Linked DNA regions of Neurospora crassa OR74A. The protein of the gene in region 2 binds, or shares a complex with, the protein of the main gene of each other region. Links are inferred from orthologs where the notes say so. Each region holds a gene or a part of one and is shown on either strand. Other genes may lie near its edges.

The links.
Region 1: the proteins of NCU04611 (region 2) and NCU09203 are in contact, whole or in part, in a crystal structure (PDB 3OAK), measured with the Saccharomyces cerevisiae proteins. The link is inferred for Neurospora crassa OR74A from reciprocal best matches to the Saccharomyces cerevisiae genes SPT6 and SPN1. Residues at the interface, in NP_011631.1 of Saccharomyces cerevisiae: Lys241, Glu244, Met245, Asp247, Ile248, Phe249, Gly250, Gly252, Asp254, Tyr255, Trp257, Ala258, Leu259, Ile261, Glu262, Asn263; in NP_015458.1 of Saccharomyces cerevisiae: Arg222, Glu226, Pro227, Leu228, Pro229, Asp230, Gly231, Thr253, Leu256, Lys257, Gly262, Arg263, Val264, Ile266, Phe267, Lys270, Ser271, Lys272, Arg273, Ile286, Trp289, Thr290, Arg291, Pro292.

Annotation. Positions count from the first base shown.
Region 1 is NC_026501.1:5,819,386-5,823,764, forward strand, and holds NCU09203 (transcription factor iws-1), read right to left. Parts: upstream 3,057-4,379; 5' UTR 2,884-3,056; coding exon 2,350-2,883; intron 2,284-2,349; coding exon 1,805-2,283; intron 1,741-1,804; coding exon 1,461-1,740; 3' UTR 809-1,460; downstream 1-808. Other genes in the region: NCU09204 (hypothetical protein), read left to right, coding at 3,625-3,733, 3,883-4,379. UniProt on the Saccharomyces cerevisiae protein: Transcription factor involved in RNA polymerase II transcription regulation. May function in both SPT15/TBP post-recruitment and recruitment steps of transcription.
Region 2 is NC_026505.1:1,504,953-1,509,221, reverse strand, and holds the start of NCU04611 (transcription elongation factor spt-6), read right to left. Parts: upstream 2,955-4,269; 5' UTR 2,564-2,954; coding exon 2,396-2,563; intron 2,323-2,395; coding exon 2,140-2,322; intron 2,085-2,139; coding exon 1-2,084. UniProt on the Saccharomyces cerevisiae protein: Histone H3-H4 chaperone that plays a role in maintenance of chromatin structure during RNA polymerase II transcription elongation thereby repressing transcription initiation from cryptic promoters.

The DNA.
Region 1 (4,379 bases), on a different chromosome or scaffold from region 2:
TTTTTTTTTCTGCTTCTGTTGGTATAATGCAGAAAGATGTTGGAACGCTCATTCTACCGCTGCGCTGGCAGGCAAGCTATGAATCGAAAGACAAGTGGGTGGGTACTAGACCGGAATCAGAGACATTCCTTTTCTTTGTTTCACATCCGGAAAGTCCCCTTCTTGTCGGCGGCTACATAGCCTCGGCTGGCACCAGAATAAGGATTTCTACATCAGGATAAGATGCTTGCATCTATACCGTGGAAGTACATCATCTCGATCCTTGATATACCTTCTTATCCCTGTGGAACAAGAAAATATCCACATTTTACCTTTCCTTAGCCTTCTTCCTAGCTCGGAAGTTGGCCTTCACAGCGAGTCGATCTAGCTTTGCCTATCATAACTTCAGCAGAGAGCTGTTTTTCATGTTCTTTCTCGTGTTTATAAGGGGGAGTGTGCTTTACATGTCTATAGCGAAAGATCAGATACCTTCAATGTTTTTCCTTGTTTCACAGTAGCAAGTATATTTTAGACATTTCATTCTCACATGTTCCCCACGTCTGCGATGGATCGATAGGCTCGTGATAGGATACCGCGATACATGATGAAGCCAAATTGTTCATAATTCTTGGATCGGTTCTTATTCGTCTGTGGTTTTGCCTTTGCGTTTGTCACATTTATTTTCTCCCTTTTTTTTTCTTCCTTTTTTTTAAGGTTGGGTCGAGTTGACATGCCACAGGGGCAGAAAAGTTAGTGATGGTCACGGTATCTAGCTTTCACTTTGGTTCTCTCTCTTCATCTGGATACCTTTAGGAATGATCAATAGAGATGGACCATGACTTGAGATACGAAAGACGTGAGTCTGTAAGTTATCTACTAGTCTATTCTTGGCATTTCGTCGGTAGCAGGTATGTCGGTGCTAGTAATTCCATCCATTGACCCCATTATGACCTGCTCGATAAAAAACTGAATCCATTATAAGAACCAGGTGGGAACGGCCATCTGGATATGATCAGTCCAACTTTTCCGCAAGGAGAAAAACGTGTTCAAGTGTATCAATGTGCAACGATTAATTTGCGCCCCGCAGCTTGCCCAGCGAGATGCCCCTATTTCATTCTATGGATGTGTGAGCGAGAACCGAGCCGACCCTGTCGTTCGTTTGTGGAAATGTAGAAAAATCCTTCACCCAACCATATCATCGTCCCTTAGCAACTCCTGCAGCAGCAGCAATAGCACTGATCATGTTTTTCTTTATTTGCTTGCCCGGGAAGGAATCCAGCTAGGAGGCAGTCGTGCCCCCATCTCCTTGGTGTTTTCAACTCTGCTCGCTGTTTGTTATATCCATTTTTCATCCCTTCGTTCCCCCACGTCGATTGAGCTCAGCCATATCTATATGTACTGATCAACCGTTTGATCTGAATGTATCGTATTGTTACGAGATTCGAGCGATAACCCCGGAACGAGGATATGAATCGACTTTCTTAACGCTTGCCTTTGCCCTTCTGGGTCATCCTCCGGAAAGCCTCGTGACCGCTGTGACCAATGGGGCGATGATCGGTCGGCGCCTGGCCTGGGATATACGTGCTCTTGGGAGCAATGGTGTAGCTTGCGGGAAGACCGACGGGCCTGGCGCGGTTGTTGTTGCGTACTTCGGGAGCGAGGGCGCGCTCGCGCTCGATTTCGTAGCGGGACTTGCCGGCGGGACGCTGGGTCAGTGTCACTTGGGAGCTGCCGCCTTCGCGTTGGCCTAGCTTCACAGCACTAGTGAAGGAAGCAAGGTTAGCATGGTTGGTTGTTGAGAGGAAGATGGATAAAAGACACATACCCGACATCAATTTCACGCATCTCAATGTGACGTTTCTTGTAGTCGTCAGTCCTCTTCAGGATCAAGCGACTCCATTCGCCCAGCAACCGCTCCGCATCACGTTTGATGTCCGCGCTGGGGCTCTTGCTCTTGTTGTAGTAAACGACGACCTTGCCAATGCCGCTGCTTAATAGCACATCTTTGTTGATGGGAAGCTTCATGAGCGCGCTCATGATGGCGCGCTGAATGTTGTACGCAGGTAGACTTCCATCGTTCAGAGGTTCCAGAAAATATCTGACAGACTGGAGGAAGTTGATTTCGGGATCGAGTACAGAGTCCTGGATTGCGGTCCGGTTTAGAATCGCGGTAACTTGAGGTAGGAGCTTGAGCTTGTGCACGGCCGGCTGTTTTTGTTCGCGGGCTTCGTTGTCGGCTACGCAGGCCTTCTCCATGGCAACCTTGAGGTTTGCAATCTGTTCATCCGTCTCCTCTTCGAGGTCCTGTTCAAATGTCGGTCAACATGCGTGTATGACAAAGCCTGCACGTGTCATTGGGAGACTCCTTACGATATCGTCCTTCTTTCGCCTGCGCTTGGTGGGGTTCTTGACAGCAGCGTCAATAGCGCGTTCCAAAGCGCGCCGTCTGCGCTCGTCTGGGGTGAGGTTCTCTTCCTGCTGTGCTTGCTGCTCCTCTACCTCCTTCCTAGCACGCCGCTCGCCCTCGGCGCGGACCTTGCGTGGTCGGCGCTCACCGTCGTCATCCGCAGCGTCAACGTCATCGTCACCACGCGACCGCTTCTTGGGCCTCCGTCCTTCTTTTGGCTTCTTCGTCGTCTCTGTAGTCGTCTTTCTCCGCGCCTTCAGCTTCATGGCCACATTTTCGTCAATGTCAACGGGCCGGGAGCCGTAATCATCGCCGAACTCATTTTCGTCGATTTCGGACAGAACATCGGAATCCTTATCGTTGCCTCCATCGTTATCCTCGTCATTTCCTCCGTGATTGCTTCCGTCGTCCTGGTGTGTCTCGTTGACCTGGTCCTCATCGCGATGCTCAGTGGGTTCGGCAGCAGGGGAACCCGCCGGAGAAGCGGCGTCCGACATGGCTGTTGCTGAATGGGTGTTGATATGCTGATGCACGCGAGATGGTTCGTTGGGATAGCTCAAGACTGGTCTTTCTTCAGACGCAAGAATCTATCGGCGGAAAAGAAGACGACGCAATGGTTGAAATTTCTTCGGTGTTTTGAGTGGCGGTTTGGTTGTTTTGCGTAAAAGACAATAGTTCAAGTCAGTTCAATTCTCCAATCCATCCCCAAACGAGGTGACGGGCTGGCCGCTTGGTCTGTGCGCTGTTTAGCCACGAGCAAATCTACCGCGCCGGGTGTTGCTGCGTCAGTGATACTAGTTTGCATGGGGTGGCTCTACACGCTGTGGGGTGGCTCTACACGCTGTGGGGTGTCCCTACTACTTGAAGACACTCCAGGCACGCAGCAGAAGCCAGGGAGCTCGCTTACCACCTTACCTAGGTAAATACGCTAGGTAGAAGACAGACAGTCACGACCAGGGCCAAATTATTTGGGCCGTGACCGAATTCCATGTGTTTACTTTGGCGCGCCGTTGCCACCGACGACCGAACTTTTTGTCCTGGGTAACTTCCGCGGTCATATCCCTGACCTTTGGAAGCTTTGTCTCCAAAGAGAAAAAAAAGAAGGGAGGATCATTTGACGTCGTCCCGCCCTCCTCTATTCTCAACCATAAGACTGTCCATCCACCCATCAACTCCCAAGACAAATGTGAACTTCCTAACGCACCAACATCGACGCGCACGTCGACCGCCCCGTCATCATGGATCGCCGAGGAAACGAATCGCCAATGGAATGGGAATTTGATAACAACCCGCCCGTGGATCACACAAGCCCCTTTGCTTCTTTACTGTCAAAGCAACCACCACTATGTAGGTCGCACTCCTCTACAGCATGCGGCGCAACATACAAATGCCAACGCCTCTTCTTGAAATTGACTCTGCGGTGGCATAATTTCGGCTTCGTCTCCAATGCTATGCTCTAGTAGCTTCTTGCTGACAGGACGTCATCGCGCCAACAGCTTCGTTCAGTTCACAGCCATCAAAGACTAGCAACCCCACGTTCGGAGCCACCTCAGCTGCTCCCCAAAGCAGCATTGTCAACGAGCACCGCGATACCCTGAAACCTCCTAATACATCCTTCAATCCCCAACTACACAATAAGCCAACGGCGCCCCAGTTTCGAAACCCCGCCTTTACGACACCTCAGAAGCGAACCGATGAGCAGACGCTAGAGTCGCCCTCAGAGGCGAGTCCCGCCATGACGGACATCTCTGAAATGCCACCCGACACGCCAGAGACCATGTTCGATGATAGTTTCAGAATTCCAGCTACGGCTTATACACCACTGCAAGCAGGCAAGGCCATGTTCAGCAGGCAATATCTTCAAAATGGGCGTCCTCGACAAGTAAGGAAGCGGAAACGCCAGCGCGGCGACCGAGACGTGGGAAGCGTACGATCTCGCCTCGACCATGCATCCGACGAATCTGATAGTGACTGGGAGGAGGGCATACGGCCT
Region 2 (4,269 bases):
ATCACCTCGAGCAGGTCAGAGCGATATTCGTTGGTCTCCGGGTCATCGTATTCGGGGCCGACCAGTCCCTTTTCACTGACGAGACCCTCAACGTCCTTGATGAGACGGTGTGTATCGGCTGAGAAACCGGAGATGCCAATAACATCAGGTTGCCGACGCCTGACTAGCTCAGCCAAGGCCTCGCGTTGACTCTCATCGCGAGCTAGGTTGGTAAAGGTACCGTGTTCGAGAATCCTTCCATCCTCATCCATCGAGACCCAGGATACAGGTTCACGGTTGGGATCGCCCATGCCATTCGATAGCGTGAGCACGCGGGGAGTCGTGCCAATAACCATACCTTTGGGCTTATAAGGGGCTTGATCCAGTCTCTTGAAGTAAAGCTCACGGCAGGTTTTAAGCAGCTCATCCTGGCACGCCGTCCGCAAGGAGTCTTTCACACCCTTGACAATAACCTTTACCAGCTTGTCAAAGGCCAAATCGATCACCTTTTGACGTTCCGCGTTCCACTTGTCGGCAAGCTCGCTAAAGTTCTCCGAGGCGAAATCACTAAAAAGTTGTTGCCTAAATTCGCGGTCGTTCTCCAGCGAAACTTTAATTTCGATGAGCCCTTCTTCCTCTGCCTTCATCATCTTGAGGAAGAGCTCCGGGCGAACGGCAAGATCGGCGATAGACATGTTTTTGAGATACTTGACCTCGTAGTAAGGATTTGCTTCGTCAATCTTGCGTAGACCCTTGTCAGTACGACGGCAGCTCACAATGCCCATGCCGTAGAAATTTTTCCTGAAGTGTTTGCGCATCCGAGGACTGGCAAACATTTCTTCAGCAAGCATCTGGCGAGCAGCATTGATGACCAACTCGCCGGTCGGGAAATCGGCGTCTACCAATGTGTCGGCCAGGTCATCTGGTAGCCTTGAATCGTCCTCTGAGGTCACCTTGCTGCTTTCGCGCAGAATGTTCTTGGCAAGACGATCAGGCGTTATTCCGAGTGCCTGGACAAACTTGTAGGCATTGGATCGCCGGATGCGTTCAAACTGGGCTGTCCTGCCACCGGCCCTCTTAATCTCACGCTGTGCGCTATTATCGTTGGCAGCAAGGTCCTTCAGCTCCGCCGAATACTGGAAGTTTAGGTAATCTTGGAGATCCTGGAGCTCCTCAATGGACTGCGCTTGGCGTATCATCTCTTCAAGGATATCGTCCCGGGTCTTTTCCTTGAGCTTGTCGTAAGTTTGTTCTAGCGCGTTACGCTTCTCCAGGAAAGACCGGAACCTGATGTCGAGATCCAGGACCTTCCACAGGTCATCTTGGGTAAGGAGCTTCTCGGCGTCAACAGTATATTCGGGAGCGTCAGGATCGTCACGGCGATTCGGGTTGCGCATCTTCTTGGCGTGGATGAGGTAGTCTCTTCGGTGCTGGAAAACGTAGGGAACTTCGACGCCGTCGATAACGAAGAATTCGAGGACCTTGCCCACGGCCTTGTTGAACGGACCGTGAAGCTCACTGGAAAGATTTTTGCTGGGTAGCATCAGGTTGCTGATCCACCGAGCCTCCTCCTTGAACTGATCGGACGTCATCTGGAGATTCTTGAAAGCCTTGCGATCGAGCTGGAAGCGCTCAGGCTCGTCGTTGAACCGAATCCTGTTATCCTCGTCGGTAAGAAGCTTCTCCTTGAGCTGCGAAGGTTCGAAGACATCCTGCAACTCGATATCTTCCTTTGTTCGCTCCGCGTGCTCCTGCTCTTCCTCCAGCTGCAACGCCCATTCGTAATCTTCACCATTACCGAAAATGGCATCCATGTCCTCGAGAGCATCCTTGTCGAGGCCGGTTGTGTCGATGTTGAGGCCCCTATCCTTGGGACGAGCAACCTCCTCATCTTCTTCGCGGTGTCGACGTTCTTCGTCATCCTCGGGGTAATCATCTTCGATGAAGTCGTCGAACTCGTCCGCTTGAGCCCGGCCGCTGGGACGGCCGTAGCCTCGATCATCGTGCTCTTCGTCCTCATCGGAAAAGATCTCGGCAAGACCGCGACGTTCAGTGGGGCGGTGGTCATCCCTATGACCCCGTTTCAGGCGCTTGAACTTGGTTTGCTTGGAAAAAGGTGAGCCGACTGGATGATATCACCGGAAACCGTAGAGCACATACCTGGGGTTGTGGCTTCCGCTCCCACTCAGGAATCGCTTCACCAATCAGGTCGAGATCTTCTTCGTCGAGCTGCTCCTCCTCTTCGCGCTCACGACGGCGCTTCTTTCTCCTACGGCGTTCGCGCGCATCCGAATCCTCGGCCTCGTCCTCTTCATCTTCGTCTACGATGAAACCTTCGCGAATCTGTGAGCGGTGGGTGTGTCAGCGTTGTTCCCAACCGGAGCTATGTTGCAGCATCGGGCCAGAGGCGGCATACCTTTCTAGCCTCTTCCTCATCTTCGTCGTCCTCCTCCTCTTCGCTGGAATCATCAATGTTGGGTCTTCTTCTCGGGCGGTCGCCGGCCTCCTCATCAAAGGACTCATCATCCTCCTCGTCATCGAGCTCGGCCTCGCCGTCAATCAAGTCGCGCATGCTGTTGCTCATGGTTACGGCTGGTTGGGGTGGCGCAAACTGGTGTGTAAATAGGTGTCTTTTCGGACAAGTCTCGACCGCCTAAGAGGGTCGGAATTGGAAATGAAGCGCGTTTCGATGGGAGCAACAGTCGCTCTTAGGGTGCTGATGAAAAAAAGAAAAGAAGAATACAGGAGGAAGTTGGGTGAAGAGCGAGCTCGTTTGGTGAAAAAGAAGTGATTAGCAATTGAAGGAGGTCTGAGTTGACCGCGACTGCCCTGAACCTTTCTGGCCGAAAGGCTGCCCGCTTGCTGCTGCTGCCGCCGTGTACGTGCTGCTCGCTCCTAGGTGGTTCGCCTGCCGCCAGGTCACGTCGGTCGGTGCACGCACGTCAATTGTGTAGTGTCGACCAGACCCGAATTTTTGGAGCAAGACGGCGGGCCAAGCAAGGCCCGGCCACCCGCCCCTGTACATACCCTCCAACTGAACTTGTTACGCCACGCGCCACATAACGCGTTCAGCCTCGCCAAGGCCCAGGCCATAGAACTGTTATGTACAGAGAAAGAACACATGGCTTGGCCCGTGCATTTCGTCAACATTGAACGGCGAGCAGCCCCATCACCAACTTCCAGTTGTCCCGAATTCTTTATGTTTTGTGATGGCATCTTTTACTGTGCTTGTCATTTTGCTCACGAGGATGTCACAACGCCCTTTGGGTTCGTGCGAAAACAGTTCACAGATTTCGTTAGGCCAGTCTCGGACCGTCACGACCATACATCTTGACAGCCAAACAATCTGGAGTTCATCTGTCAGGAGAACAACAAAAAACAAAAACAATATTGTAAAGTGCACATCGGAGCATATGGTGCCGTGTACAGACACCAACCGACACCAACCGACACTATCCATGCCCTCGAGGGGAGCTAGCAACGGAAGCTCTAACTATGATGTTGAGCACATTGGGCATGTTTATGCAAAGTTCAGTCGCCGACATGCTTGAACTCTGGGATCCGCATGGCTAAACTATATCTGAGAGACGTTCATGCCGCGCATCATGGAACTCACCACTTGAGTTGAACCGAGCATCTTTGGTTTCAGATGTTCTTCGGGGGGTCATGATCCCCAGCCATCCGCGCTTAGACCCACCATTTGGCACGCATATCTCGAACAAGTCCCTGGCATCATCCGGATCACAGCCGACTGTTGGTTCTGGTCATGCCCAATCACAGCGGTATTTTGCTTGATTCGACATCTCATGGCGCGCTTCTTGAGAGCTCTGGGGTTGTACGAACATGACGTGCACTGTGCTTGCTGTGCTGCGGTTAGACTTGAAGATGGTCCTGTCATTGGCATGTTGATACTTTTCTTTTGTTTTGCTGGTAACAGGGACACATGCGTGCCAGAGAGTTTCTTCATCTCTTGCCTGTAAGCGAGCTACACTACAAGAGCTTCACAGGGTCCACTGGAGATAGGCTGTGCGCAAGATGGCACCGTCTATTTATAAGTACGTATGGCTAAGTACCTGGGAATAGCTTCGTCCGGACCTCTCTCAGAGTCCGCACTGTATTTCCCCCCCACTACGGTGTGCCGTCCCCAGATCCAGGTCTGAACCGAATGTAACAAACACCATCCCATTTTCTGCAACTCAAATCACAGGTCCCTCTCGACTTCTTTGCCTCACATAATGGCGCCACCGTTGAAGTTACAGATATTAAAAAGAGAAATAGTGCGTTATAACA